7 linked regions of the Mus musculus genome follow. The protein of the gene in region 5 interacts with the protein of the main gene of each other region in a pairwise test. Links are inferred from orthologs where the notes say so. Each region holds a gene or a part of one and is shown on either strand. Other genes may lie near its edges.

Evidence for each region.
Region 1: the proteins of Fxr2 (region 5) and Paics interact in binary tests that used the Homo sapiens proteins (3 or more experiments, as listed by UniProt). The link is inferred for Mus musculus from reciprocal best matches to the Homo sapiens genes FXR2 and PAICS.
Region 2: the proteins of Fxr2 (region 5) and Mbip interact in binary tests that used the Homo sapiens proteins (3 or more experiments, as listed by UniProt). The two-hybrid records come from large-scale screens. The link is inferred for Mus musculus from reciprocal best matches to the Homo sapiens genes FXR2 and MBIP.
Region 3: the proteins of Fxr2 (region 5) and Pts interact in binary tests that used the Homo sapiens proteins (3 or more experiments, as listed by UniProt). The two-hybrid records come from large-scale screens. The link is inferred for Mus musculus from reciprocal best matches to the Homo sapiens genes FXR2 and PTS.
Region 4: the proteins of Fxr2 (region 5) and Pom121 interact in binary tests that used the Homo sapiens proteins (3 or more experiments, as listed by UniProt). The two-hybrid records come from large-scale screens. The link is inferred for Mus musculus from reciprocal best matches to the Homo sapiens genes FXR2 and POM121.
Region 6: the proteins of Fxr2 (region 5) and Meaf6 interact in binary tests that used the Homo sapiens proteins (3 or more experiments, as listed by UniProt). The two-hybrid records come from large-scale screens. The link is inferred for Mus musculus from reciprocal best matches to the Homo sapiens genes FXR2 and MEAF6.
Region 7: the proteins of Fxr2 (region 5) and Pram1 interact in binary tests that used the Homo sapiens proteins (3 or more experiments, as listed by UniProt). The two-hybrid records come from large-scale screens. The link is inferred for Mus musculus from reciprocal best matches to the Homo sapiens genes FXR2 and PRAM1.

What each region holds. Positions count from the first base shown.
Region 1 is NC_000071.6:76,964,656-76,968,009, reverse strand, and holds the end of Paics (multifunctional protein ADE2), read right to left. Parts: intron 1,764-3,354; coding exon 1,605-1,763; intron 1,363-1,604; coding exon 1,196-1,362; 3' UTR 501-1,195; downstream 1-500. UniProt on the Homo sapiens protein: Bifunctional phosphoribosylaminoimidazole carboxylase and phosphoribosylaminoimidazole succinocarboxamide synthetase catalyzing two reactions of the de novo purine biosynthetic pathway.
Region 2 is NC_000078.6:56,343,095-56,347,390, forward strand, and holds the start of Mbip (MAP3K12-binding inhibitory protein 1), read right to left. Parts: upstream 2,801-4,296; 5' UTR 2,707-2,800; coding exon 2,578-2,706; intron 1-2,577. UniProt on the Homo sapiens protein: Inhibits the MAP3K12 activity to induce the activation of the JNK/SAPK pathway. Component of the ATAC complex, a complex with histone acetyltransferase activity on histones H3 and H4.
Region 3 is NC_000075.6:50,525,857-50,530,081, forward strand, and holds the start of Pts (6-pyruvoyl tetrahydrobiopterin synthase), read right to left. Parts: upstream 2,801-4,225; 5' UTR 2,781-2,800; coding exon 2,701-2,780; exon of another isoform or gene 2,474-2,700; intron 2,377-2,473; exon of another isoform or gene 2,290-2,376; intron 1,161-2,289; exon of another isoform or gene 1,094-1,160; coding exon 1,014-1,093; intron 1-1,013. UniProt on the Homo sapiens protein: Involved in the biosynthesis of tetrahydrobiopterin, an essential cofactor of aromatic amino acid hydroxylases. Catalyzes the transformation of 7,8-dihydroneopterin triphosphate into 6-pyruvoyl tetrahydropterin.
Region 4 is NC_000071.6:135,384,547-135,388,046, reverse strand, and holds part of Pom121 (nuclear envelope pore membrane protein POM 121), read left to right. Parts: intron 1-1,051; coding exon 1,052-1,223; intron 1,224-3,102; coding exon 3,103-3,194; intron 3,195-3,500. UniProt on the Homo sapiens protein: Essential component of the nuclear pore complex (NPC). The repeat-containing domain may be involved in anchoring components of the pore complex to the pore membrane. When overexpressed in cells induces the formation of cytoplasmic annulate lamellae (AL).
Region 5 is NC_000077.6:69,631,728-69,635,770, forward strand, and holds the start of Fxr2 (fragile X mental retardation syndrome-related protein 2), read left to right. Parts: upstream 1-1,243; 5' UTR 1,244-1,590; coding exon 1,591-1,671; intron 1,672-3,672; exon of another isoform or gene 3,673-3,792; intron 3,793-4,043. UniProt on the Homo sapiens protein: mRNA-binding protein that acts as a regulator of mRNAs translation and/or stability, and which is required for adult hippocampal neurogenesis. Specifically binds to AU-rich elements (AREs) in the 3'-UTR of target mRNAs.
Region 6 is NC_000070.6:125,102,161-125,105,660, reverse strand, and holds part of Meaf6 (chromatin modification-related protein MEAF6), read right to left. Parts: intron 2,823-3,500; coding exon 2,630-2,822; intron 2,232-2,629; exon of another isoform or gene 1-2,231.
Region 7 is NC_000083.6:33,636,762-33,640,855, forward strand, and holds the start of Pram1 (PML-RARA-regulated adapter molecule 1), read left to right. Parts: upstream 1-1,294; 5' UTR 1,295-1,413; coding exon 1,414-1,416; exon of another isoform or gene 1,417-1,451; intron 1,452-3,702; coding exon 3,703-4,094. UniProt on the Homo sapiens protein: May be involved in myeloid differentiation. May be involved in integrin signaling in neutrophils. Binds to PtdIns(4)P.

The sequences.
Region 1 (3,354 bases), on a different chromosome or scaffold from region 5:
GGAAACACTGTCAGATCTATAGCTCTTTATGAAACACAGAATTTGGATTCCCCAAAACATCGGCTCCTACAGAAGCGAATCTGGCCCATTGTTCGGATATACACTAGCAAACCAATCAGCCCATCACACTCACCCACTCCTTAACTATGATTACAAACTAGAGACTCAATTTCTTAAAATGGTGGCAGGATGGTGACTGCAGGTGTGGCAAATGTCTTACCAGAGAGGCACCTACCAATCCTAGCTAAGCAGTGTTTACTCCATCCTTCCCTGGAATGGCTTTATCCCACGTACGACTGCCCTACTGCCCAAAGACCTCAGGAAAGAGACCTGGCGAGCACCTTTCTTCTACCTCTAATCTCAACCTTTTGAAAACAAAAAAACCAGGGTTAAAGCATGGGCAAGGTCTCCTCAACACTGTAAAAACAAACCCCAACAAAGCACAAATACATCCATCAACTTAGATAATGACTTAGAATGTATAGACCACACAGCGAGAATATATTGTTATACACAAGTATTTTAATTTTCAATGTATCAACTCAGTTCAAGCATTATCTACTGATTAACAACAACAAAAAATGCTATTACTCTTTTTAAAAAGTTTACTTTTTAAAATTGTGTGTGTTGGGTGGGGGAATGTAATAGTATTTGAAAGCAGGTGCATGAGGAAGCCATGGGGTCAGATCCCCTGATTTAAAGGGTATTTATTGTGAAACAGTCTACAGAGATGCTGGGAAGCAAATTCAGGTCGTCTGCAAGAGAGCCACACTGGTTCTTCATAGTGGTTCAGACAGCAGACACATTGTTCCAGTTCCATAGTTACATATTTACCCAACAGTGACTATACAGAGCGTGAGAATAAATTTAGTAGTGTCATGCCAATTTTACTAGCTAGAAAGATTCCCTCCACGGCAAGTTGAGTCTCAATACACAGCTCAGGGTGGCCCTGAACTTAAGAGGTCCTGCTGCTGCCTCAGCCTCTGGAGTGCTAAGGTTACAGGGACATATCACTTTGTAGAGCTAGAAATATTAGTAATATCCACTGACAATGTGCCAACTCATAAACACTGAGTAACATTTGTTCATTAGTAACTAAATTGTTTTCTCTTATGTGAAATCATTTTGCTTGACTTTTTTCTTTAAATCCAAACTAGGACTACGTAACTTTTCTCCTAAAAATTAAATTGCTTCTTTACAAATTGCATTGTCTGACCTTCTTATCAGCCTGCTTTAAGGATATCCACGTGTTTAATATGCTCGCTCGAAGTTTGGCCCACACCAAATGATTGTTTAACCCAAATATCTGAGCAGCAAACTGAGCTGATCCTTCTGGAGAAAGTATAGTTGAACAGCCAATACCTATTGGATCAGAAAAGAAAAAGACAGAAAAATGAGTTGGCAGCTTAAAAATTAAAAAAGATGATAATAAACCCAAATCTTATTTCTTAGAGATGCGTACTTAAGCATCTAAGTATAAAATAATTTAAAAACATAAGATCTGATTTAAAATAGTAGGCTGTAGTTAAAATATATAGTCAGACATTGAGATTGTACCTTGAAATTTTGGGCACACACAGCACTAAAAATTTTCAAGGTCTTACCACTGGGCAGTCGAAGAGATGACCACACATCCTGAGCGCCCCAGTCTGGTGTGATCGGGGGACAGCTGATAACCGGATATGCAGTATTGCCAGACAGCACTGGGCCTAGACCATTGCTTCTGCCCGCCACAGAGACAAATACAGTAGGTATGCCATCCCCTAAGGAAAGTATAAGATGGTCAGGTCCTTTATAACAAAACAGTGCGGGGCAGGTGAGACTGCAGTGGATAAGGGGTGTTTGCTGTCAAACCTGGTGACCTGTGTGACCTGTGGAACCCATACGGTAGGAGAGAATCAACTCTTGCAATTGGTACATGCATCTGTACACACATACAATAAAAACAAAACAAGCTAGGCAGAACAGGCCTGATGATCTTTGAGATCTGTTATATAAGAAATGTCATGAGGTCAGTGAGGAAATGGCTGGTTCATAGCTCCCTTCTGCTATTACTGCTTAGATTCAGTAAAAAAAAAAAAAAAAAAAAAAAAAAAAAAGAATTTCACCAACTAAACAGCTACCCTCATGTTGAGTTGTCCTTAAGTGGTGCTGGTAGACTCATTTAATAGTAATTAGAGATTTTGTGGATACTTCCTAAATTATAGTCTCTAGGAGCTGGGATTTCTGCAGTATAGCACCCGCAGTCCAAGTGCTTAGCATGCTTGAGGCTCCAGGCTCAATAAACTGCAGTATCAAACACCAACACCAAACGTGCATATACACACTTCAAATTCTCTAACAGCCTTGACATACAGAGGGCCTTACTCTGTAGCCCAGGCTCACTTTGAATTTACAATAGTCCTCCTGTTTTACTTTCCCAAACTGTGATACCCACTTCTGGTTCTATGTGGTAGTGGGTATTGAGTCCTGGGTTTCTTACATGCTAAATAAGCATTTTACCAACTGAGTTACACTCTATCTTCAGTCCGCCTAAAATTATATATTTTTTTTATTTTTTACTGGCAAAGAATCCAAACATTCATTAGCTTATTAAAAGGATCTGAAGTTTCAAGAGAATCAAACGTCATTTTTTCTTGTTTAGAACCGTTTTTTTTTGTTTTTTGTTTTTTTTGTGAACAAGTTCCAGTCGTTTAGATCAATGATATCCTATCATTTATTTGATGTGCTATCTACTGAAACTAAAGCTTGCTTATATGCTTCTAAGAAATCTGACCAGATACTAGAGAGGCTCTGCTGCTTCAGCCTCCTGCAGCTGAGTGAGGGCCTTCTTCTCCGTCGGAGCACACGAGAAACAATGCTAAGGAGTACTGCTTGTTAGACAAGGAGACCACCCCTCCTCACAGGTCTAGTCTGTTTTCTAAGGTTTTACATGTATGGGTGCTTTGCCTCCATGCTGTGTCTATGCACATGTGTGCAGTGAGCCACAGATGGCTGTATATGTTATGTCACTAAGCCATGTTTAAAAAGATTATTTTAAAAGATTATATGTGTGCCCACATGATTTTATGCATGCAGGTGACCATGAGGCCACAAGATGTCTGATCTCCTGAACCTGCAGCTCCAGGCAGTTGTGCGATGCCTGGTGTGGCATCCAGCTGAGGGCGCTCTCCAGCTTCTCTATCCCTGCATTTAAGTGTCCCCCTTGTCCCTTCATAGGCTTCTACAGTGTCCCTTCTGAAGATAAGTGTAAGAAATGTATAGCATGAAACATAGAAATAAATACGGGGAAAGCTCATTTAAGCATTATTGTTCAAAAATATGTTATTTGAAAATCTTTTACCCAAATCAGAA
Region 2 (4,296 bases), on a different chromosome or scaffold from region 5:
AGAACACTACCAAGAATATAAAATTAATATCAAAATCAGTCAAAACTTTAGAGGGAGAAGCTTCCACCTGTACATTTGACTGAGTATAAGGGAATCACTATAAACTTTGCTAGACACAATTCAAGTGGAAACAAGTCAATTGTACTTATTTTGCAATAATAATTTATTAAAAATTATGTCATATTTTCTACAAAGTAAAGATGCATGTTTCATGAGCTCAAATACAAATTTAAAGAGCTGTAAGAATAAAAAACCAAGACATGTGCTGATGGATTACTTTCATATTCAATAATAAATGCAGTTATCTTAGTAATCTTATCGTCAAATCTTAACTTAGTGTAAGTTTACCTATGTCAGTATAGCCTATGTAAAATTTCATATTTCTTTATGTTTGCCAAATGTGGACTTAGATGCCCCTGGTCTTAGGCAGTAGGTTTCTGTATCCACTATTTATACAGTAGAGTGCTTAACATAGGAACCTGAGATCTCTTTGGTTCCATGGACAATTCATGTCTTGTTTTTTTATTTTTACAGTTCATTATTCTTGCCACAGTCAACTATAGAGCTCTTGGCAGATTTATGTTTGGGGAATAAGCAGGCAAACCTTAAACCAAAGCAAAGCATCACCCTTTCTAGAGAAAATAATTATAGGAAAGAAATCTTAATATTTGGATCATATTCTCATGTCAGTATGGAAGCTTTCAAAGGCAACTGGAGACACTTGATCTTTTATGGAAACCAAACAGTAAGGTGACAAATTAACTTAAAAATGGCCCCCAAATAATCCAATTATTCATTCAGCAAATTCCCCAGTAACATATGGATTCTATGAATTTTTATCCCATAATCCTTGGGACAGTAATCAGGCGTTCAAATTTTTCTATTAACACACTATTAACACTGACTACTCAGTCATGTATGTTCAGTAGAAACACATTAGTTGCATTTGAAGGAAAAATGCTTTTTAACAATTCAGTTTTACACTTTCTATCGAAAAGCGCTAATAATTCAATGATATTTAAGGTGAACTTAGACATATTACAATTTACATCTTAAAAGTCCCTTTAATTTGTTGCGAAAGGACACATTCCGCAGGGGCAACTTTATAAGTGTGGATGGCTTTCATCCTTAATCACGCATCTCAAAATACATATTACTAAAATAGCATTTAATTAATTTTTTAAAAAATCTTATATTTGACACTTGTTAAAGGACCCTTTACTGTTACAAAAACTTCATTTTCTCTACACATTTTTGGCAAGTGGCATAAGTTAAGTTTAATCATTTTTCCATTTGAACCTTTGAGATAAATTTATATAATTAAAAAACTCAGTATGCAAAATTTAGATATTTTATAATTCAAATAATTTATCAATGTAAATTATTTTGCAATTTCTAAGCATAATATTTGAGAAGATTTTTCTCATCTTGACATTAGAAATATAAATGAATAAATCTTTAAGTTCCAAATCCACGCCAAAAAGTTCTCTAACTTTTAAACTATTTAAAGATCTGAGATGTTACTACTGAAATATTAATAAGGAAAGTGCTTAAGACTTTGTAAGAATTTTTTTCCTAATTGCTTATCAAGCAACTGAGTTTAATTTTTTTTAACTTTTCGAAGTCCAGTAACACCAAACAGAATGTACAACTCAAGTAGTTTGCCAGTCAGAATAAACTTACTAAGGTTTTCCAACTAAGGATTTTAAAAATAATCCTCACAAATCAGGTAAATGTCCTATTCTCACTGGTGGTACCACTGCCCTTGACATAAATGTGTGCTGTGTCCATTTCAAGCACTATAACCAGTCCCCAAACAAATTAGGAAACATGTTTGACACAAAACTCTTCTAAAAGCAGGCAAACATACTTTTGTTCCTTATTTAAACATTGCCTCATTTACATCACGACTATCTAGTAAAGTGTAACCTAGTTTTTAAAATCCAGGTTTACTGTGACATTTTCTGTAAAGAGCAATTAGCTAAGCTACACGACAGTCGTAATGTAGTTAGAAGTGGCCACACATAACTCATCCAACAATTCACACTAAAATTTAGGTATACTACAAATGAAATTGTGGAAATCCTTATATATCCCTCCCCGTTTAAAAGAGTAAGAGATGCAATAAATGGCAAGAGAAACAAAAAACAGAAAAACAAACAAATAAACAAAAAACCCCAGAGTAAATCACCCCCCAAGGAGTGGGGATGGCGCTAGGAAAAGTTTCAGGCCATATTAACCAGTGAGTTTCTGCGATAAATACACTGGAGGCAAAAGGACCGTGATCGCCAGGAACCTCCTTCACCCTCATCACCTTTTAGGCATCTTTTGGGCAAGCTTTCGTCGCCAGGACCCCAGTTTTCTCCAGACCTTGGCCATCAAGCGTGCCGCTGGCATCTCCCGGTCCCAGGAGCTGGGCCCAGGGTCTTCCGGGTGTCACAGCCCGGCCACGGCACACCAGCGGCACACACCGTGCCAGCGGGGCTCCGCGACCCCCGCCTCCGAGAGAACTAAGGGGACAAGGACCGGGATGCTCTCCCTCCCCACCCACCCCTTCCCCGCCGCACCCCCACTTACCTGTCTTGTCAGGGTGTGCAAGGAGCGAAAGACTTCGCAGAGGACCTCGCGGGTGAGGAGGGGGCTGGAGCATTGCTCCAGGCTCCTCTCGCTGCCGCTTGAGGAACTAAGCTCCGCAGCAGCAGCCATGACACCTTCAAAGCAGCCCCCCAACCACCGCGAACAGCGCTCACCCCACCCCTCCCTCGCGGACTTCGTCGCACTGAGATGACGTAAAACTAGAGCGTCTCACTTAGAGCTTGAGGATAGGCCCCACCCTCTGTGTGTGACAGACACACAGGAAGACCAATCAAGAGCAAGGATAGCTGTGCTCCGAGGGAACTTGTGTATGTGAAGCTGGACCTTCTGTCTGGTGGTGTTTTCTGTGGTCCACCTTGGTTTAGAAACCTACTTGGCTCTTAGATGCTCCCTGTGAATGTTGGCAGAGCCTTACTCTTAAGTGTTAGAATTTGAGTCCCGCTATTAAAATTTAAAATGTTAACAGTCGAGTTGTCTTGGAAAAAGATTGCGGGTTAGTGATGGAGCAGTGCTTTACAATTTTCTAATTACTAGAAACTTGACCCAGGATGATCGTTACTGGATAGAACATTTTCATCTCTATAAGACTGTTTGATATGAGGAATTTAAAAAGAACACAAGGGCTACATTATGCTTCTTTTTCCTACCATAGAACGACATTGATGACTACACCTGCAAAATAGTTTATGTCAAAGTTCTGACATGCAACGGGTTCTCAGTGCAATCACTGGACACTTGACCTTAAAATTGTTTCAATATAAATCCAATAGAAATATAAACCAGCCGGGCAGTGGTGGCGCACGCCTTTAATCCTAGCACTTGGGAGGCAGAGGCAGGCGGATTTCGAGGCCAGCCTTGTCTACAGAGTGAGTTCCAGGACAGCCAGGGCTACACAGAGAAACCCTGCCTCAAAACAAAACAACAAGAAAGAAAAGGAAGAAAGAAAGAAAGAAAGAAAGAAAGAAAGAAAGAAAGAAAGAAAGAAAGAAAGAAAGAAGGAAAGAAAGAAAGAAAAGACCAATTTATTCCATGTAACCACACTCTTTAAAATTAGGATATAAAACTAAATCGACTCTTGTTGGGTATTATTAGATAGCTTTATTTTAGCGAAAAAAGTTATAATTTTATAATGTAGAGTTCTATTAATTTTTTTTTCCTTTGAGACAGGGTTTCTCTGTATAACCCTGGCTGTCCTGGAACTCACTCTGTAGACCAAGCTGGCCTCAAACTCAGAAATCTGCCTGCCTCTGCCTCCCGGATGCTGGGATTAAAGGCATGCTCCACCATGCCTGGCTCTATTAAATTTTTAAAACAAGCTTAAAAGATAAAGGACAAAAGAATTAAAACTCTGGCGGCAGTGGCTCAGGCCTTTAATCCCAAAGCACTAGGGAGGTAGAGGCAGGTAAATCCCTTATGAGGCCAGCCTGGTCTACAAAGTGAGTTCCAGGACAGCAAGGGCTACACAAAGAAACCAAAGCTCGAAAAGCAAGCAGGCAAGCAAGCAAGCAAACAAACGATTTAAAACTCTTCTTCATGATAGTTGAGTGCATTTAACATACAGGAAGTGGAAGTATGAAGTTAATGGGTAGTCTATCCTTAGAGAGCAGACTGAATAAAGGAAGAAATAAGGAATTAAGGGACACTAGGATAAGGAGAGTAAAAATGAAAGAACTCCTTTTACCTGTCTAAGGAGCCTTTTAC
Region 3 (4,225 bases), on a different chromosome or scaffold from region 5:
GTAACCCTGTCTCACCATACACCACTCCACTCCAGGGCTTAGGAGGCCTGTTCTGAGAATCATGTCCCTTCTCCTCCCACAAATCACTTTCTTAGGATACTACCAGAAAAGTTTTATATACAAACTCCTGGGGGCCGATGAGATGGCTCAGCGGGTAAGAGCACTGACTGCTCTCCCAAAGGTCCTGAGTTCAAATCCCAGCAACCACATGGTGGCTCATAACCACTTGTAAGGAGATCTGACCCCCTCTTCTGGTGCATCTGAAGTCAGCTACAGTGTACTTATGTATAATAATAAATAAATCTTTGGACCAGAGTATGCAGGGACTGAGCGAGCAGGGCTGACCAGAGCGAGCAGGGTTGACCTGAATGAGCAGAGGGTCCTAAAAGTTCAATTCCCAACAACCACATGAAGGCTCACAACCATCTGTACAGCTACAATGTACTCACATACATAAAATAAATCAATAAATCATTTTTAGAAAGCCCCCTTTTCTGCAATAGAATGCACCCTAAGTAATTTACGTTTCATTAGCCAGTATTTACTCAAAATAATTGCTTTTTATTTTACTATGAAGTTTTACATTTTAGCTAATACATAAAATATAAAAAGTCTACATATAAAGGGGCACTATTTGATGTTTCAATTCATATATACATGGTATCATGTTTAAATCAGGTTAAACATACCTGTGTCCTCAAACATTCACTATAATCAAATTTTAACATTAGTTTTAGCCCAACATAATTAAAAGGAAACAGCGAATGGCAGTTTTATTATGCATTTGAATGTCAAAGAAAATGCTTTAACTCATTTTGTTGTTGTTTTCTACTGTCTTTAACATGGTAGACAATTGTGAGGTAAACCAGAACACCCATCCAACCAAGACAATGACTCTGTCTTGAATTTCCACTGAAGGGCTCAGAGCCCTGACCCTGTCCCGGAAGCGTCTGGCTCCCAGCCCCCTCGTCCTTCTTCCCAACAGGCTAGGAGGGAATGTGCCCCTCCCTCACCTTTATAGTTGTGCCCGTGGCCATTCGGATTGTTGCATTTCCCAAACACTCTTAAGTTCTCTTCATCGCTCAGAGATGGGCTGACAGGAGAAAGATAGAGGTCAGCCCGAAGTTCAGACGTCCAGAAAACTCTACAATTTCATGTCACTGTAGATGATCAACTGGTTAGATCGCTTGCATATCATGATCCCCGTTTCTATCAAGAACCAACACTCCACTCTCTAATTAAACTAGATTACCACATAAATCATCCAAGACCTTCATCTCAACCCACTTAGTCCACAGTAAGATGTCAACAACTCTGCCCATAGTCAGCACTGTCTCTCCTGCCCTCTCTCTGTCGAGGTCTCCTCTATCCCTGGCTGGCCTCAAACTCACTAGGTAACTTAGCACGACTTCCAACTTCTGACCCTCTTGCCTCCACCTCCCAAGTCCTGAGATCTATGTAAGCAGGCACTGTGTAGTCAAGCACTCTACCTACTGTGCTACATCCCGGCTCCACCTTCCAATTCAACAAGCCCTGAGTATTAGCTATGGGATAAGAGATGAAGCAAGGAGCAGTGATAAGCACGAAGACATACATATCCTCCAGCGGCTTAAAAACGTCATTCCTCCTGACAAATAATGACCTCAGGCTCTTCTTTTCACAATCTTGCCCTCCTCTGCCTCAGCAGTTGCCTAGTGGAAACCTTACCAATGTGTTCCAGGACACTCAAGTCAGGTGAAACTTTAAACTTACTACACATGGCTGTCATTCCAGACAGAAAACAATTAGCTTAATGAATCTGTATCAGTCAACTTATCTGTGCATCCTTACTAACCTTGTGTGTAAGCTTCCTATTATAAAAATCCCTTTTGAGAGGCCGGAAGGATGGCTTAGCAGTTAAGAGTGCTTACTGCTACTGCAGAAGACCAGGGTTCAGGTCCCAGCCCACCCACGTGACAGCTCAGAAGCCTGTAACTCCAGTTTCAAGGAATCCTCTTTTGGCTTCCACAGACTCTTTCGTGCAAGCTGTGCACACAGCACACAAGCACACACAAACACAACTTTTTATTTAAATTCTTTAAACTCTTTCTTATCCCCTTCACTCTCTCCTACTGCGCACTTAGAGCAGTACAGCTCACAAGACTTTTGAAGAAAATTCTCACTGTACCCAACTTGACCACACGGAGGGGTGGGGGTAGAGGGATGACAAGTGTCAGCTGTTCCCTATGACAACCCTGTTGTTAGAAAAGGCCGTTCTCTGATGATGACATGCAGATCCAAAGAGCAAACCTTCAAGTGAGTAACGAAGCTCCCTTTGAAACCAACTCTCAGGTGCGGTCTTGTTTCTCTGGGATTCAATTCCCGACTGTGTTGCTCCTTTGGAAAGTATCAAGGCTGGTTTTACTTTTTTGGTAAAAGGGGGATGAAAACTACCTTGGGTTGCACCCGGTAGCCCATGCTCCTGTCATTGTACCTCTGGATGTGGGCAACCTCTGGAGGGAAACTCTCCAGAGTGGATCCTCCGGGATCGGAGCTATACCGCCCTCTCCCGGGTGAGTGCCGGTAGTGCAGCTCCGCACCTTCACCATTTCCTCTTCGGCCCGCCCCAGCTCGGCTCTAACCCACGCGCGTGGCCACGCCCCCCAGGGACATAGCGGGACAAGACCCGCGCGTGCGGTGACACACGTGGGCACACCCCACCTGTGCAGCCGGTGGCTCGCGCTGAAGGACACGAGGCGCGACAGTCGCGCGCGGCGACGAAGGTCACCCGCCGCGCTCATGGTCTTCGGACCGAAGACTCACAAGCTAGCGGTTCCGGCTTCCGGGACCGAGGCCAGTCCCGCCCCCGCGGCTGCGCAGTGCAAACTCGGCCCTCCCTGCCGAAAGCACTCCTGGGAGTGGTTTCGACTCGCGGCACCCTTCGGCCGACTTGGAGGCAAACACTAGCGCCCCCTGCTGTTCAGTCTTCGCTAGGCAGTCAGAAATACCTGGGGCCAGTGGGTGGGTGAGAAGCCAGAGGCCTGGATTTTTAAATTGCCAGGTTAGTTTGTGTCTTCTTCTTTCGCTTCATTTTTGACAGTCCTGGGTTTGACAAATCCAATGTCTGGGTGCCCTTATCAGATGTTCTCCAGCCCGGTACCACATTGAAAGTGTCCTTAACCAAAAAGAAACCCCAGCTAAGGATGGCAATGCACTGTCATTAGAGTTACCCTGCAGGCTGAAGCTGGGGCATTGATTTTAGGAGTCCCGATCTGTTCTAGGCAACATAGTAAAACACTAGCTTAAGTGGAAAATAAAGGAAAATTTTGACATCTCAATATCCAAGTGAGAGAATGTCATACAAAGAGACTTCCTCAAACCAGAGACAGCCAGAAAACAGATTCACCGTTCAGAGCCCTCAGAAGGAATACGCTGTTCCTGGTTTTAGATTCCTGGCTTTCAGAGTTTTTGAAATGGAAAGGTATTCCAGTGTAATCCCAACCGCTCTTGTGCAACATTTGCTGGTTCTGTGTTTAGATATTTGTCTCAGAAGGTTAGCTTCTATTAAATGTTGTCAGTCAGAGATGGCATATATCAGTGATCCCAGCACTGAGGCTGAAGCAGGAGGGTGACAAGCTCAAGGTCCGTCTCAAAAGGATAAAATCCTATACATAATTCAAATGGACACCTTTGGCAAGGCAGCCCCCACATCACCCATCCATTAATTAAATTTTAAAAACTAAATTAAAAAAAATGTTTACCCAAGTATCTTTGGCTGTCCTGGAACTTGGTCTGTAGACCAGACTGGCTTGGAACTCACCTGCCTCTGCCCCTCTGCCTCACAAATGCTCGGATTAAGGGCCTGCATTACCACCACAGTTAAGACCTTAATCCCAGATGCTTTAAGTATTAGACACATGTACTTCAGAACAACAAAATGGTCCCTGTTATCTGAAAATTCAGTTTAATGGGGGCAGTCCAACAAATAATATGTCAAGTGAAAAATTACCATTTCTGTGTCAGAGAGTAAAAGAAAGCTTCCAAGAGCAAATTAGTCTGAGATGGGTTTTAAGGAGTCCAACAGATGGGTAAATAGAAAATCCCAAGAGGAAAGAGTTTAAGCAAAGGAAATGTGGAAACGTAGCTTGCTTAATGCACAGTGACAAATTCTTGGCTACCTTGGGGTGCATGCAAAACGGAGGAGAGTGTATTGGAAATATTGACTGAAGACCAAGTAGTGGAAGAA
Region 4 (3,500 bases), on a different chromosome or scaffold from region 5:
AAAGATCTTGATTGGTCCTGGGCCCGTTCATATTCTCATCTTCTATTCATCTAAACTATGAGGTGGGACGAATAAGCAAGTGCGATTTTACAGATGCGTATGAGCAGTCAGCTTGTTTTAAAGGTGTATTATAGATGACAGGTGTAAGCTCTTGTGGTCAGGTTGTTAAGAGCAACAAACTGGTAATTTTCCAGGTATTCTGTTCCAAGTAGTAAGTGAAGTGATGCTTAGATATGGGCCGTAAGCAGTGCTTTAAGTAAACCACTAACTAAAGCAGTCAGCCAGTGTCTCGTGCTTGCTCTGTCTCACTCTGCTTCACTAACATGGTGCAGTTGACCCTTCACAAATGGACCACAGGCTTCTGCAGGGCAGGAAGTGTTGATATGGAGTGTATGAGAGGAAGTTTGCATAGAAGGTGCATAAGTTCCAGTGTGGTAAAAAGGCTCTGTCAAGCCTTGCACTCAGCTCACTGTGTTGCACCGTGGGAGACATGCATACACAGTGTGGACTGCTGAGGTAGGAAAGCCTGACAGGGGCTGGCTTTGGAGGCTCCAGCCTAGAGGAGGCACAGGCATCTGGGAGCGAGCCAAGATGATGGTGTGCTAGTGGAAGGAGGGGAACATTGGCTGCCTCTGCTGCAGTTGTCAGCGAACTGGTTTGTGGTTGATGCACTTGCCTGGGAAATGGTAAGAGGACCATACTGTAGTAGGGCTAGGTAACACACATTGACAGAAAGGATTATGGGAGATTTCTCTTTCAGTTAGAGGCTTAATGATTTTTCTCTTAGCAGCTTTATTGAGGGATCATTGACAGACATTACGTTTTTGTCCCCATGACACCACAGTCAAGGTGTAACCCTTCCTGTTGTGTTTCCCGTGCTGTGCTTTTACCCAGTCACTTTGTCAGACATAGGCAGCCATGTCATCTGCTGACAGTGGCCTTGAGGAACATTGTGGTGGTCTTTCAGGTTTATTCAGAAAGGTGAGGCACCATGGTGGAAATAGCAGAATACGCCTGCAGTAGCGCATGTACACTTCTTCCTTTCTCTTAGGCCTGGCTCCCTGAAGAGAAGTCTGGCTTCCCAGAGCTCAGATGACCACTTGAACAAACGGTCTCGCACCTCCTCTGTGAGCTCCCTGGCTAGTGCGTGCACAGGAGGCATCCCCAGTTCTAGCCGCAATGCCATCACCAGCTCCTACAGCTCCACCCGTGGCATCTCACAGGTATGTCTCAGGGCCGGGAGCAGAGGATGCAGCTCACCCTCTGTTGCTTTGCACTGAACCTGTCTCTAGGCTAACTGGAATACAAAGCAAATTAACGAGATCAGTGGGACTGAACAGAAAGCAAACCTGGTCCAGATGGAGCAACCTGCAGATGGACCAGTGCAGTAAATGGTACTGATTTAGAAAGGTTTTGTTCCCTTTGGAATGTAAAGGAGATTTATTTCTTTATTTTAAACTTTCTTTTTTTTTTTTTATTACGTATTTTCCTCAATTACATTTCCAATGCTAGCCCAAAAGTCCCCCATTCCCCCCCCCCTCCCCTACCCACCCAATCCCACTTTTTGGCCCTGGCGTTCCTCTGTACTGGGGCATATAAAGTTTGCGTGTCCAATGGGCCTCTCTTTCCAGTAATGACCAACTAGGCCATCTTTTGATATATATGTAGCTAGAGACAAGAGCTCCGGGGTACTGGTTAGTTCATAATGTTGTTGCACCTGCAGGGTTGCAGATCTCTTTAGCTCCTTGGGTACTTTCTCTAGCTCCTCCATTGGGGGCCCTGTGATCCATCCAATAGCTGACTGTGAGCATCCACTTATGTGTTTGCTAGGCCCCGGCCTAGACTCACAAGAGACAGCTATATCAGGGTCCTTTCAGCAAACGCTTGCTAGTGTATGCAATGGTGTATAAAGGAGATTTATAGGCAAGTAGGATTTAGTGTAAGCTTTGATTCATGAAGTAGATGTCATTCTTGTTTAGAGTTCGTTAGAGCCCATAGGTGGGGAAGCCAGGCAGCTCCACTGTCAGGCACACTTGGGCTCCAGTATTGGTATTGACACTAGGAGGTGCACAGGCTCCTGCAGGTAGATCAGTCGCCCTTGGTGTTTGCTTTTGCCTTTTGAGACAAGGTCTCATGTATCCCTGGCTATTGTGCATGCAGCTCAGGCTGGGTTTTAACTAGTAGTGATCCTCCTGCCTCAGCCTCCAAGCACTAGGTGTTCAGCTTGCACCACCATGCCCAGTTTGTATCTAATACTCATATTCATGGAATATCAGAATCTGTAAAAATAGAGGCTGTACTTTTTACTATAGATGATTTTTGTTAGAATATGTAATGAATACAAGAATTACCTCTTTATTTCTTTTTTAAGATATTTATTATTTTTATGTATATGAGTACACTGCAGCTGTCAGACACCCCAGAAAAGGGCATCTGATCCCATTATAGATGGTTGTGAGCCACCATGTGGTTGCTGGGAATTGAACTCAGGACCTCTGGAAGAGCAGCCAGTGCTCTTAACTGCTGAGCCATCTCTCCAGTCCTTTTATTTCTTTTTTTAAGATTTATTATTTTGCAGTATGTGGTGGAATACTCTAACAAGACCAGCCTGGCCTACATAGTAAATTGCAGCCAGGGCTATGCAGTAAGATATGGTCTTAAAAAAAGAAAAGAAAGATATTTTTATTTATTTGAGCCTGTGTGAGGCCAGAAAGCATCCATCATCCTAGGAACAGGGTTACAGTATTTGTGAGCAGTCTGGTGTGGATGCTGGGAACCAAACATGGGTCTTCTTCAAGAGCAGCAAGTGTTTCTTAACCACTGAGCCATCTCTCCAGTCTCTCAGAAAGGTTTAGTTTTGCTGTGTTTCTTGATTTTTTTTTTTCTTTTAGTTTTTTGAGACAGTCTCTCAGTAACCCTGGCTGTTCTGGAGCTCACTATGTAGAGCAGGCTGGCCTTGAACTCACAGAAATCTATCCACCTCTGCCTCCTTAGTGCTGGGATTAAAGGTGTGTGCCTTCCTGCCTGGCCAGGTCAGAATATCTGCCTACATAGCCATATTGTCAGTAGTAGTTTCAGATTGTCTCTCTGCTTGACTTGCAGCTGTGGAAGAGGAGTGGTCCCACATCTTCTCCCTTCTCCAGTCCAGCTTCCTCCCGCTCCCAGACACCAGAGAGGCCAGCCAAGAAGACAAGGTGATGACCGGTCCCTTCTGGTCACTTTGTGTGGACAGGGGCAGCGGGTTTAACAAGGATTAGCTGTTGGGCTGCTTTATCTGACTCAGCAAATCAGAGTCAAACCATACAAGAGCAGCAAAGTGCCTGCTAGAGTTGTGTCCTTGTCCTACAGTGTGAGCAACTGATGGTTGGGGTCCCTTCTCTGTCTCATACTCCAGTGGGAGTGGTGCAGAGGCCACTGGGAGTGGAGTGCAGAGTGGACCGGGTCAGCAGGGAGCCTGAGTCCCTGGCCCCAGCTCACCCTTCACTGGAGCTCGGCTCCCT
Region 5 (4,043 bases):
GACACAACCTGTAGTTTGAACACTGATCCTATTTTATTTTGTTAAGTATTTATTTAATGTATATGAGTACACTATTGCTGTTTTCAAATACACCAGAATAGGGTACCAGTTCCCATTATAGATGATTGTGAGCCACCATGGGGTTGCTGGGAATTTAACTCAATACCTCTGGAAGAGTAGTCAGTGCTCTTAACCACTGAGCCATCTCTCCACCTCACACCCCTTATTTTTACAAAAAAAAAAAAAAAATCTGTTATACGTGTGGGTGACCACGAGTGATGTTATATGTATGATGTTCAGGAGACAACTTGCAGGAGGATATCTCCTTCCATTTTGTGGTCTAGGAATACAATTCCCGTTAAGCTTCGTATTCGAGCCATCTCTCTCTCTCTCTTTTGTTACTCCATGACAGTTTTTCCTGTATTGAATCCCCTCAGAATTTATGCATCAAGTTATGTGGCATTTTGTTTTTCATACGGCACTAAATTTACTAGAATACTAGTCAACTTAGGGCAAGCATGGTAATGACATGGCTGTAATTTTTGCACTTGGGAGGTGGAGGTTGGAGGACCTATTCAAGGTCATTCCCCCACTACCTAGTTAGTTCATGGTCAGCCTAGGACACAAGAGACCCTGTCTCACAAAACTTAAAAAAAAAAAAAAAAAAAAAAAAAAAAAAAGTCTACTTAAGCCAACAACAGTGACTCTTGATTCTCCTATGGATGCAGAGAGTCAACACATGCGCATGGACACCAAAGCCCAGCGCCTGCGCACTGGGCAGTTTTTGCCTTTTGGTTCCCCCCCCCCCCCCCTTTTTGGAGTGTGCGCACCAAGAAAGACAAAGGTGGTGAAAGTGACCAAGCAGTCATTCGGGCGCATGCCCATCCCTAAATTGCCCAGGCTCCATGGGGCTCACTTTGTGGAGGCGGAAGTCCAATCCGATGCAGCGAGCGCGGCCCCCCTCTCCCTTTGATTGGTTTGCTTCCAGTGTTGTGGGGCGGGGAAAGGAAGGGACAGGGACAGTGGAAGGTTGGAGTGGTACAGAGAGCGTTCGCCTCGTTCTGCGCAAGCGCAGAGAGGCGACCAGGAGGGGGCGTGAGAGAGTGCAAGAGAATGTGGAAGCCCTGACGCGCTGGCGAGCGGGAGCTGGGTCGCTAGCCTAGACGCCTGCGCCTTGGCCCTCCGGCTCCGCGCGCGGCGGGCGGGTGCCCTGTGCGCCTGCGCAGTAGGCGGCGGCAGCAGGGGGAGGTGGAGGCCGTGGAGCGGCAGCGGCGGGTCCCGGGACCGAGGCAGCAGCGGGGGCGCCGGCGGGCGGAAGCTGAGGTGACGAAGGCGGCGGCGGCGGCGGCGGCCGTTTCCCTCACGGTGGCGGAGACCAAGGCAGCGGCGGCGGCGGCGGACGGGGAGCGGCCCGGCCCCGGCCCCCTGCTCGTCGGCTGTAGCAGGGCCGCCGTGGGGCCGGCCCGGCTCCCGCCCCCCGCGGCTCCCCCTCCGGCTCCTCCTCCAGGGAGACGCCGGGGACCCGGCCCGGCCCGCACTCAGGGCTCTGTTTCAGCTGCTGCCGGGCCAGTCGGAGGTGGTGGCGGCGCCATGGGCGGCCTGGCCTCTGGGGGGGATGTGGAGCCGGGACTGCCCGTCGAGGTGCGGGGCTCCAACGGGGCCTTCTACAAGGTGAGACGGCGCGTCGACCCGGGCCACCCTCCTTAGCCCCCTCCCCCAGCCGAGGCAGGGAAGAGTGGAGCGGGATCGAGTTTCTGGAGCTTGGTCTTGACCCTTAGAACCTTCGACCCACGTTCCCACTCGAAACCCTCCCGTGGCGATCGTGGGAGTTAACCCTCGTGCTTTTATTTTGAGCTCGCTGTTACACCTGCTTTTATCAGCTGAAAACATGGCCATCAGGTCATTCCTGTGCGGGGATGGGAGCCCCGGGTCCCTTTGGAGAAAGCCCTTTTCCTAGCTTCTAATCGACTTTTCTTGTTTTTTTTTTTTTTTTTTTTTTTTTTTTTTTTTTTTTTTTTTAGTGTAGGCGATACTTCAGCTTTTAATCACATCACCCCTGCAGCCCAAGCACATGGAGGATTCGCATTCTTTTCCTACATGACCCCCTTGGGAAGGTCCACTGTCCCACATTAGGTCTTCAGGGAGCCTTCTGCCTACTGGCTCTAGACCATTTGCTCAACTTTTGGTCTTAAATTCCTGTTCCCAGGCTGACAAGAAATGGTCAAAACCCATCTGTGTTATTTAGCATTAGCATCTTTGGCCTCAGGTTTTTATCAGCCAGCCATAAAGTGGATTTGTTGGACAAGTTTGTCACCCACCACACCTATATTCCAAAATCACCTATGAGGGATGGATTCACGCTTATCTCTTTGACTCTAGATATATTTAGGTCATTCCTCTATCTTCTTGGTAAGTTTAAGCTTCACTGTCTCTCAAAGGCCATCTCAACAAGTTCTTATTCTAACAGATTTCTGCTTGTTGACAATCCTTCTGGAAAGAAAAAAAGTATCTTTCAGAATTGCTTCTTTAATCAGCTTTTTCTTTGCCTAAGATTTGATTCCTGTGAACTTTTTTAAGGGGTGTGGTTGGGACAAGATCCCCTCCCTGGCTGCACTTGAACTCTTCCTCAGCCTAGGATTACAGCTCTGGCGTTACTGGTTGAGCCACCATGCCAGACCAGACTTTTGTTTTTTCCTTCTTTCTATCCACCACCCACCCCATCTTCTGTATCTGTCCTGAGTCTATTCTGGATCCCACGCCCCAGATATTTTCTTCTTCTGATCAGTGGGGTTCTGAACATCTTTTGACTTTTATGAGTGGAATTGTCCCGGACACGTTTGGTCCCTCTCTTACTCTTCATCCTGGAGAGAAAGAGGAATTTCCATAGCATGAGATGGGTGAGAAGAGCCCCTTTTTCTTCAGGTTTCCTCAGGTTGTCTGTCCCCCTACCCTAGTAGAACTTCTACTTTCTTATGCCCTTGGAAATAACTTTCTCTGACTCTACTATGAAATTGTATCTTTTTTGTAGCTGAAAAAAGACTTAGGTTTGCCCTACCCCTGTAGATGGTTCCTACCCTCACTTCAACTGATATGCTAGTTATCCATTATAAAGGCCAGGCCATTTTTTTCCCTTTTCTGATCAAGTTCTTTACCCAGTGCCTATGGGTGCACATACCTATTAGCTTTAATGCAGCTTCTCAACTAAGTCTCGGTCTTTTTAGCTTGGTATTTCTGTATTCCTGTGTATCCTTGATGATGTCTACCTGTCTAGTCTGTGTATAGCTGAAGAAGGCTCCTAGCTGATTCTGTCACTTTCCTAACTCTTGGTACTTTTTCTTCAGACCAGAACAGTGTCTCTAACATTTCTGTTTTCTGTAGCAAAAGTCTTTAATTCTTTTGGCTTCTGAGAGGACACATTAATGTTTTAATATCTATTTCACCCACATTTGTATTACCTTTGTTAAAACAGTCTCCTCAGGCTGGGTATGGTGGTACATACTCTAACCCTAGTACTTAGAAGGCTAAAGTAGGATTGTTGAAGTTCAAAACCAGCATGGGGAATGGAATCCAGTCTAAAACAACCCAAACAAACCCAAAAAGTACTCTTTATTATGCTCTCTTTTCCTCGATATGTTAGTCTTCATCTGTATCCTTCTAACATCAAAATGTTAAAAATTCCAAAAAAGCTGTGTGTAGGTGTGTGTGTGTATATACATACATACACACACACACACCTACACACACACCCACCCCCGTTCGATTTCTGGGTACAGGATTTCTCTATGTAGCCGTGGCTGCCCTGAACTCAAACTCTGTGGGATAGGTCTGCCTTTGTTGAGTGCTGGGATTAAAAGCATCCACAACTACTCTTAGTTTGAAAAGTGGTTCTTAAATTGAGTATGAGATCAAGATAAGATATTTGCATTTGGTTTAAGGAAGCTCAGGAGCCATGCACAGCTGGGACAGATGAGTGCTCAGTTCCAATTAACTGTATGACATGGTTGGGCTGGGACATGAATTCTGTTACACATATGGGTATCCAA
Region 6 (3,500 bases), on a different chromosome or scaffold from region 5:
CCTCAACAGTGTCAGCCATTTGCTGACGAGCGTCCTGTGAACACGGCCTGGCTACACCAGCCTCATGCTGCAAAGAAAGCATTGCTCTGGGTGCGGCTCGCCAGCGCGTCCAGATAAATGTGCTCCTGCCCTGCCCTTGAGTGTGCAGAGGTCACAGGACTCCAACCACCTGAGCCCACTGAGGTGCCACCCAGGGCAGTCCTGACCCTCGCTTCCTCAGAAAGAGCAATTTGGTGGCACCAGTCTCTTGGGGTGCGGTGGGGTGGGGTGGGGTGCAAGTGAGCACATTAGGCCTGGGAGGAGATCAGAACGGACAGGAATTCTGACTATAATAACCCAGTCCACCTTCTGGGCAGGCCTCGCCTCTTATGAGGGCAGTGCCCAGTGATGGTCTTTCAAATGCTACTGTGTTTCTGGAGGGGCTTCACACCTGGGGGAGAAGGAAGAAGTGTTATGCTCGTAGGAATGTTCTAGAAACCTGCAAGGACAAAGTTAAACTGAACACTTCTCTAGCACCCTCTTGTCAGTCAGCAGCTGGTCACATCACTAGTGCAAATGGTCAGGGGTGTCGCACGTAACCAGCAGGGTCTAAAGAGAACACTGGTCAGGGGTGCAGCGTCCCGAGAGACTTTCAAGAATGTTCTCCCTGCTCTAGACACTCTGAAATAGGAAAAGAATCACCAAAATGAAAACAAAGTAAATGTAATTAAAAAAAAAAATCAACATACAAGAAAACACTTAAGGGGCTGGAGAGATGGCTCAGCGGTTAAGAGCACCGACGGTTCTTCCAAAGGTCCTGAGTTCAAATCCCAGCAACCACATGGTGGCTCACAACCAGCCATAATGACATCTGACGCCCTCTACTGGTGTGTTTAAAGACACCTACAATGTACTTACACATAAATAATAAATAAATCTTAAAAAACACTTAATAATTATCTTCCCTCTGTGTGTGTGTGTGTGAGGTATATATACATGTGTCAGTGTATGTGTGTATGCGTGTGTGTGTGTGTGTGTGTGTGTGTGTGTCTGCACGTGTGTAGGCCAGAGATTGATGCAGGTGTCCCTTCATATAGTTTTTGAGAAAGGGTCCCATCACTTCTTTTAGCCTGGCTAGCTGGCAAGCCCCCAAGATCTCATGGTCCCTAATGCTGGTATTATGTACACATACAACTCACTGAGTGCTCTGATGTGGGTGCTGGGAGTAGAACTCAGGTCTTCATGCCTGCAGGGAAAGCACTTTACAAACTGAACTATCTCCCAACCCATAAAATACTCTTCAAGAGTATGGCTCTCTGGGCTGAGAAGATGGCTCAGCAGTTAAGAGCCCTGGCTGCTTATTCCAGAAGTCCTGAGTTCAGGTCCTAGCAACCACGGCTTACAGCCACCTGTAATGCGATCTGATTCCCTCTTCTGGTGTGCATGAAGATAGAGCAGTCATAAGTAAATAAATAACTCTTTTAAAAAAGAAAGAAAGAGAGTATGGCTCTTTGCTGTCTGCGATAAACTGGCCCTAAGCCTGCCACAGTGCTCCAATCACCTACAGTCTCACCATGGGGGAGGGGACAAGTCTTGTTGCTTCTCACTATAGTTTGAGGTAGCACAGTGGTTTTAGGTTTGCAGAAAAACCATAAAGCAATAATCCTTCATCACTATTTATAGGGAGAAAACACTATTTCTGCAATAAAACAAAAACAAAAACAAAAACAGAAAGCAAAAAAAAAAAAAAAAAAAAACAAGAAAAGTTTAAAAGAATTCAAGAATCTGTTGATGCCAAAGAGGTTCAAACCAGTTAAATTTAATTCTACAATATCCACAGTGCCGGGTCTGTGAAGTTCACAGTGTAACACCTTAGGTGCAGGAGGGGACACCCCACGGGTTTCTAAAGCAACATAGTTCGTTAGCCAACCAGAGGATAGGGAGCCAGCCCCACACAGCCCTGCGCACCCCTCTGACCCCACAGTGTTCAGGCTTCCAACACCAGGATGGGGAGGGCCCTGCTTTAGGTACTTATTCCCCTCTGAGTTAAGGCCCAGCAGTAGCATACAAACCCAGGCAGAGCGGCCACTAAGTCCCCTGAGACACCTGACCTCTCTGTCCACTGGTGTCATTCCCATCTCACTTCCCACTGCAAAAGTAACAGTGCTCAGAAGGTTCCTACGGAGGGAGGGATGCTCGCACTGAGGAGCTTTAAGTGTTTCCCCGTATCTGAAGGCAGCGTACTCAGAGAACTACAAAATAGAAAAGTCATAACAATCAAAACCCGTATTTAAAAAGTCATAAGGGCATGTCACCTCAGCTCCCACGGGAGCAGACAGGACCCTCTATCCCAGGTCACGGTTTCCCAACAACCAGAGTCGTCCTTTCAAGGACTCCTTTCTAATTTCCCTGTTTTCCTCTTAGCAAAGGACAATGGGAGTCACGGTCCATCCTAGTGACTCCCGTGGATCCTTCAGGGCCTCTCTACTGCCACCCTCCACCCCTCAGAGGACACCACCCCACTTTACTTGCACCAGAAGGATGTCTGCCACCCGCAACATGAGGACTCTGTCACTGTCCCAGGCACCTTCATTCCAACCAAGCCCCGCCCAGCATGTGTGAGGACTCTGGGTGGGACCCTGCCACTAACCTGTGCCGGTTTTTATTCTTCCGTTTTTTGTGGCTGCTGTGGTGGCTTCCTGAGGAGGTGGAAGAGGCGGCTTTCTGAGGTTTCACTCCCTGGACGGAGCCGTCTAGGTCCTCGGGGTCCTCCTGCGCAGGCTCGTTTTCCTGATTGTGGAAGTCTGGAGAAGTATCGCTTTCCGTCCCACTTCCTGGTTCCCCTAGAGGAACGAAAACAGGTCCCAAAAGCCAGATCAGGACTCCTCAAGTCCCCACGGGCCATGGAACAAAGAAGACGGGGAACAGGCACTCAAAGTATCAAAGCTAGGAAACCCCTGAAATCCACGTGGTCTGCAGCAGTGCGGGGGACAAGCCTGACCACAACTCAGAGCACTAAGGGCCATTTCAATATGGAGCACACTGAAGAGAGGAAGGGTTACGCCTTGGCAGAACTGACAAACGGTCAGAGAATCCTGCCTTTCAGTGAAGAGTTGGTGGAGGATGAGCTGGAGAAATGACTCTGAGATTAAAAGCAGGCACTGCTCTTACAGAGGACCCGAGCCTAACTCCCAGAACTCATGTCATAAGGCTCACCCACTGGAACTGCAGCGGCAGGAGATCCGACACCTCTGGCCTCCTTGGGTACCTGCACCCACATGCACACGCACACACACACACACATACACACACACACACACCCCACACCCTGCCCTGCCCGACACATACAGACCATTTAAAAAAATAAATTTAAAAAGCAAAAAGAAGGTGGTACCCAGTGGGGAGCAGCGTCCAGTCCATCCGTTGATTACTGCCGTCTTGGATCTTTTTTTTTTTTGGAGGGAAGATAGAGATTGTCTCATGGGAACTTGGGCCGTGAACTTCCTAGGTCTCAGAGGATA
Region 7 (4,094 bases), on a different chromosome or scaffold from region 5:
CCAATCCTCCTGCTTTTAACTCCCAAGTGCTGTTTTATGAGATTCTAGAAATCAGATTTAAGGCTTTGTACATGCTATATAAGTACACTACCAACAGAGCTACAAACTTTGGATTTAGTTTATGTTATCTTCCTTCACAGGGTCTCAACTTTCCAGCCGGGGGATGGTCATGCACTTAATATCCTCTTCTCCCACATGCGAGGATTACGGATGTGTGCCACTATACCTGGGTAGAACATGTACTTTTTTGGTTACGTTTCTGAGTCAGGGTCTCATTATGTAGTGCTGGCTGGCCTGAAATTCACTATGTAGATTAGGCTAACCTTGGAAATGTAGTGAACTTCCTGCTTCTGCTGGGATTACAAGTATGCACCACTACGCCAGTTGCTTAGAGCATGTACTTTGTGACTCCAGGGACATAGACACATGTACACTCATCTATACACCAGAACCATCCTGCTAGGGTGTAAGTAGTCCTCCTCCTTGGACCACATCCCAGACTGGTGACATCAGAATCTCTGGAAGATATTTTTTTAACAGCTCAAAGAATTCTATTCTGTTCCCAAACTGAGAATCATACCTCTGAACCCTGCTGAGTGTTCTTTGTTCCTGTGGACTGAATCACGTGTCAGGGCTCTCCTTTCCTATATCTACCTTTGTCCCACTTTGGGCTTCATTTTCCTGCAATCCAGTTTTCTTGTTTCTCCTCTCTCTGCTTCCTTTAACCACTGTGAACTTGAGAGGTCCTAAAACCCCATACCTTCACAGCAACAGTGATGTCCCTTCAGCCCAGGACTTAGACATCTTTTAATGCCACCCACCCATAAGTCTGCTTATCCCAGTTGATGATGCTTTGGGTGCATAGCCCTGGCTGATGGGGCATTTGTCACCTTAACAGGGAAGTCCTGTTGAGAGTACAAATGGTGAAACAAGGTAGATGAAGCAATACAGGAGGACAGATATGTCCTCACCATTGCAACAGCCATATCCTAGGTCTACCTCTTTAGAGACGTCTTAAGACCCAGAGAAAGCCATAAAATCCCCACTAAGGTGCTGTGACTGTCCTGAGTTTGTCCTAAGCTTGCCTCTTCAGAGACAAAGCTTGTCAGGACCCCAAAGTGTTAAAACTAAGGGGGACAATAGGGAATCAAGAGGCTAGTAGGAGCTAGGAAACTTGTGCTTTATAGATGTGCTTAGGTCTAATGACCTGACTTTGGGGACAGTAGTGGACAGGCAGGAACTCAAGGAGGGGACAGAAAGGCTATCTCCGCCTCCTTCCTCCTCTGCCCTCCCCAGCCCAACAGCTCCGACTTGGTGTGTCAGCCCGTGGAGCAGAAACCACACTTAACTTCCTCAAGGCAGAAGCCTAAGCTCAGAGCTCATTCACCCTGTGGTTCATCATCCCCTGAAGCCATGGTGAGTCCTCAAGCCCCCATTGGAAGTTCATTCAGGTAACAAGGGTCCCAAGTAGAAACTGGGGAACTGGTAAATATGCCCTCATGGGTAACCTAGCAGAACAGAGCTAGAACAGTCTTGGGGATGAGATGGCACAGGAAAAGATAAGAAACAACCAAGGCATAATAGCTTGAGCTCTTGTGGACCAGCTTTGTATCTGTGACTGCAAGGCAGTGTGGTGCTGGTTGGGTCTGCCTGGAATGATATACCCTCAATCCAGGTCAGCAGCTGGGATATAAGCAGAGGTTTCCTGTGAAGTGATTAAATGGGTCACGCACCTGCTACACCAGTCCCCATCTCCAGTCCGTTACCCAAGCTGTGCTCTGCTAAACCCTTCCTTATCTACCCTTGTGGTCATCAACTCACTTAGACTGGGGCTTCAACAAAGAAATGTCTGACCCCAGGCAAGAATTGCTTCCTTCCCAGAGATCCTTCTGAGTCCATCTCTAGATAGATTTACAAGGTTCTGTCCTCTCTGTCCTCCAATCTTTTTTACCCTTGGTGAAGATAGGCTGGGGATATCTACCAGCACCTATGGCAAAGAGCAGGTCAGACTTGAGAGCACCAGAAATGTTCTAAACATATCATATAGTGCCTGTACATTTGGGGAGCCTCCCTTCTGGTCCTCATGAGACATGTCAGGGACTATGACACCTAATACCCACATCTTAGATAGATGTATGTAGAGCTTGTTAACTTAGTTAGAATGGCTAGCCAACAAGCCCTAGAGGGCCTCCTGGCCTAAGCTCTCCAGAGCTAACTAGGATGACAGGTACTGCTCCTGACTTTGTTATGTATGAGTACTGAAGCTAGAACTCAGGCTTGCATGACAAGTACTTTACCTACTGAGAAATCTCTCTAGTCCCCCCAACTAAATTTTAACAATTTATAGTCAAAATGGGTATGGTGGTATACACCTGTAATGCCAGCACTCAGATGGCTGAAGCAGTAGAACTGTTGAATCCCAGCCTGGGCTACATAGTGAGAAACTGACTTAAAATAAACAAAAAACAAAAAAAGGAAAGGAAAGGAAAAAGGAAAAAGGGAAAAGGGAAAGGGAAAGGAAAGAAAAAGAGAGGGGGGCGAGGAGAGGAAGAGAGAAGAGGAGAGGAGAGAAGAGAGAAGAGAAAAAGAAAAGCAAGCAAGCAAGCTAAACTAATGGTGGCACACACCTGTAATCTCAGCACATGGGAGGCAGAGGCAGAAGGTTATCCTCAACTATAAAGCAAGTTTGAGGCCAGCCCAGGATATATGAGACCCTGCTTCAAAAAACAAATTAAAAAAAAGGAGGAGGAAGAGGAGGAGGAGAGGACGATGACAAAAAACCCTCATCACTGGGAAGATATAGTTCATTGCTAGAGCTTGTTTAGCAAGGTGCTAAGTTCCATCCCTAACACCACAAAAATAAAAATCCTCAAAACAACCCTAATATAAGAACTAATATAAAAAACTTCATAGGTAATGGGAGACAAAGAGAGTAGAAAATGTTGGTGACTGTGGGCAACTGGGAAGAGAAAACTGATTTAAAATGGGGTTATCTCCGAGGTCACCCTTAAGGAGCATTATCATAAAGACACAGAGGAGGAAGAGGAGAGACCCATGCATTGAGTGGTATGCATTACAGACAGGACAGAGGCGGGGTGGGGGGACCACTGCTGAGTCATTCAGGGACTGTTTGCTTTCCTCAGAGATGAACTCGCTGAGAGATTGGGAGCAGACACTTTATAGGCCTCCTCTAGGGCAGCAGACCACGGAGGAGGAGCCCATTACAGTGATCTGGACTGTGGAGGGCAGTTCCTCTACTTGGGGTGACAGTGAGAAGTAGTTGAATTCCGGATGTATTTTGAAATCAGGAAAAAAAAAAAAAAAAGGACTGGGGAGAACCGGTGATCAGGCAGAGGGCAAAGAGAGGTCAAGGGGGAGCAGTGGCACAAAGCACAAAGGTTGAAGATATTGTTGATCAGAAGCGTGGGCCATGGGCTAGTAGAAAGGAATAAGTAGTTAGGTCCTGTTAGAGGTTAGACACAGCTTAGGTGGAGGAGTCTGGAGGGCGTGGGTTCCAGGAACCTGGGGACAGGAGTAGTTCTTACCCAAAAAGAGAAGCTGAGATTGGGGAAGAACCAAAGTTAGAATGAGAACCTAAGGGAAGAGGAGGGTGATGGGTTTGTGTGCCTGTGACCAACTGTAACCGTTTCTCCATCTGCCGCCTTGTGATGAGAGCCTTCCTGAATGACCCATGTCTTTTAGGGGAGCAATCAGGACTTCCGAAACCTCCAAGCTAAGTTCCAAACCTCTCAGCCAGAACTTGGAGAACTGTTCAGAAAAACCCCAAAGCCTGAGTTAAACAAAGTCCTGAAGAAATTTCCACAGACTGAGTTAAGTGAGCAGCCCAAGAAGTCCTCACAGTCTGAGCTCAGTGCAGTGTCTTTGAAACCACTGCAGCTGCAGTTTGCAGACCTCCCCAGGAAGCCCCCACAGCCTGGAGTTCTTAAAAAGTCACCACAGCCTGAGTTCCCTCATCTAGCCAACAAGCCTGTACAGGCTGAATTCCCAAGGAAGCCTCTACATCCAGAGTTCACAGGTCTCAAAAAGCCTTCCCAGGCTGAGTTCACAGATCTCAAGAAGCCCCCACAGCCCCA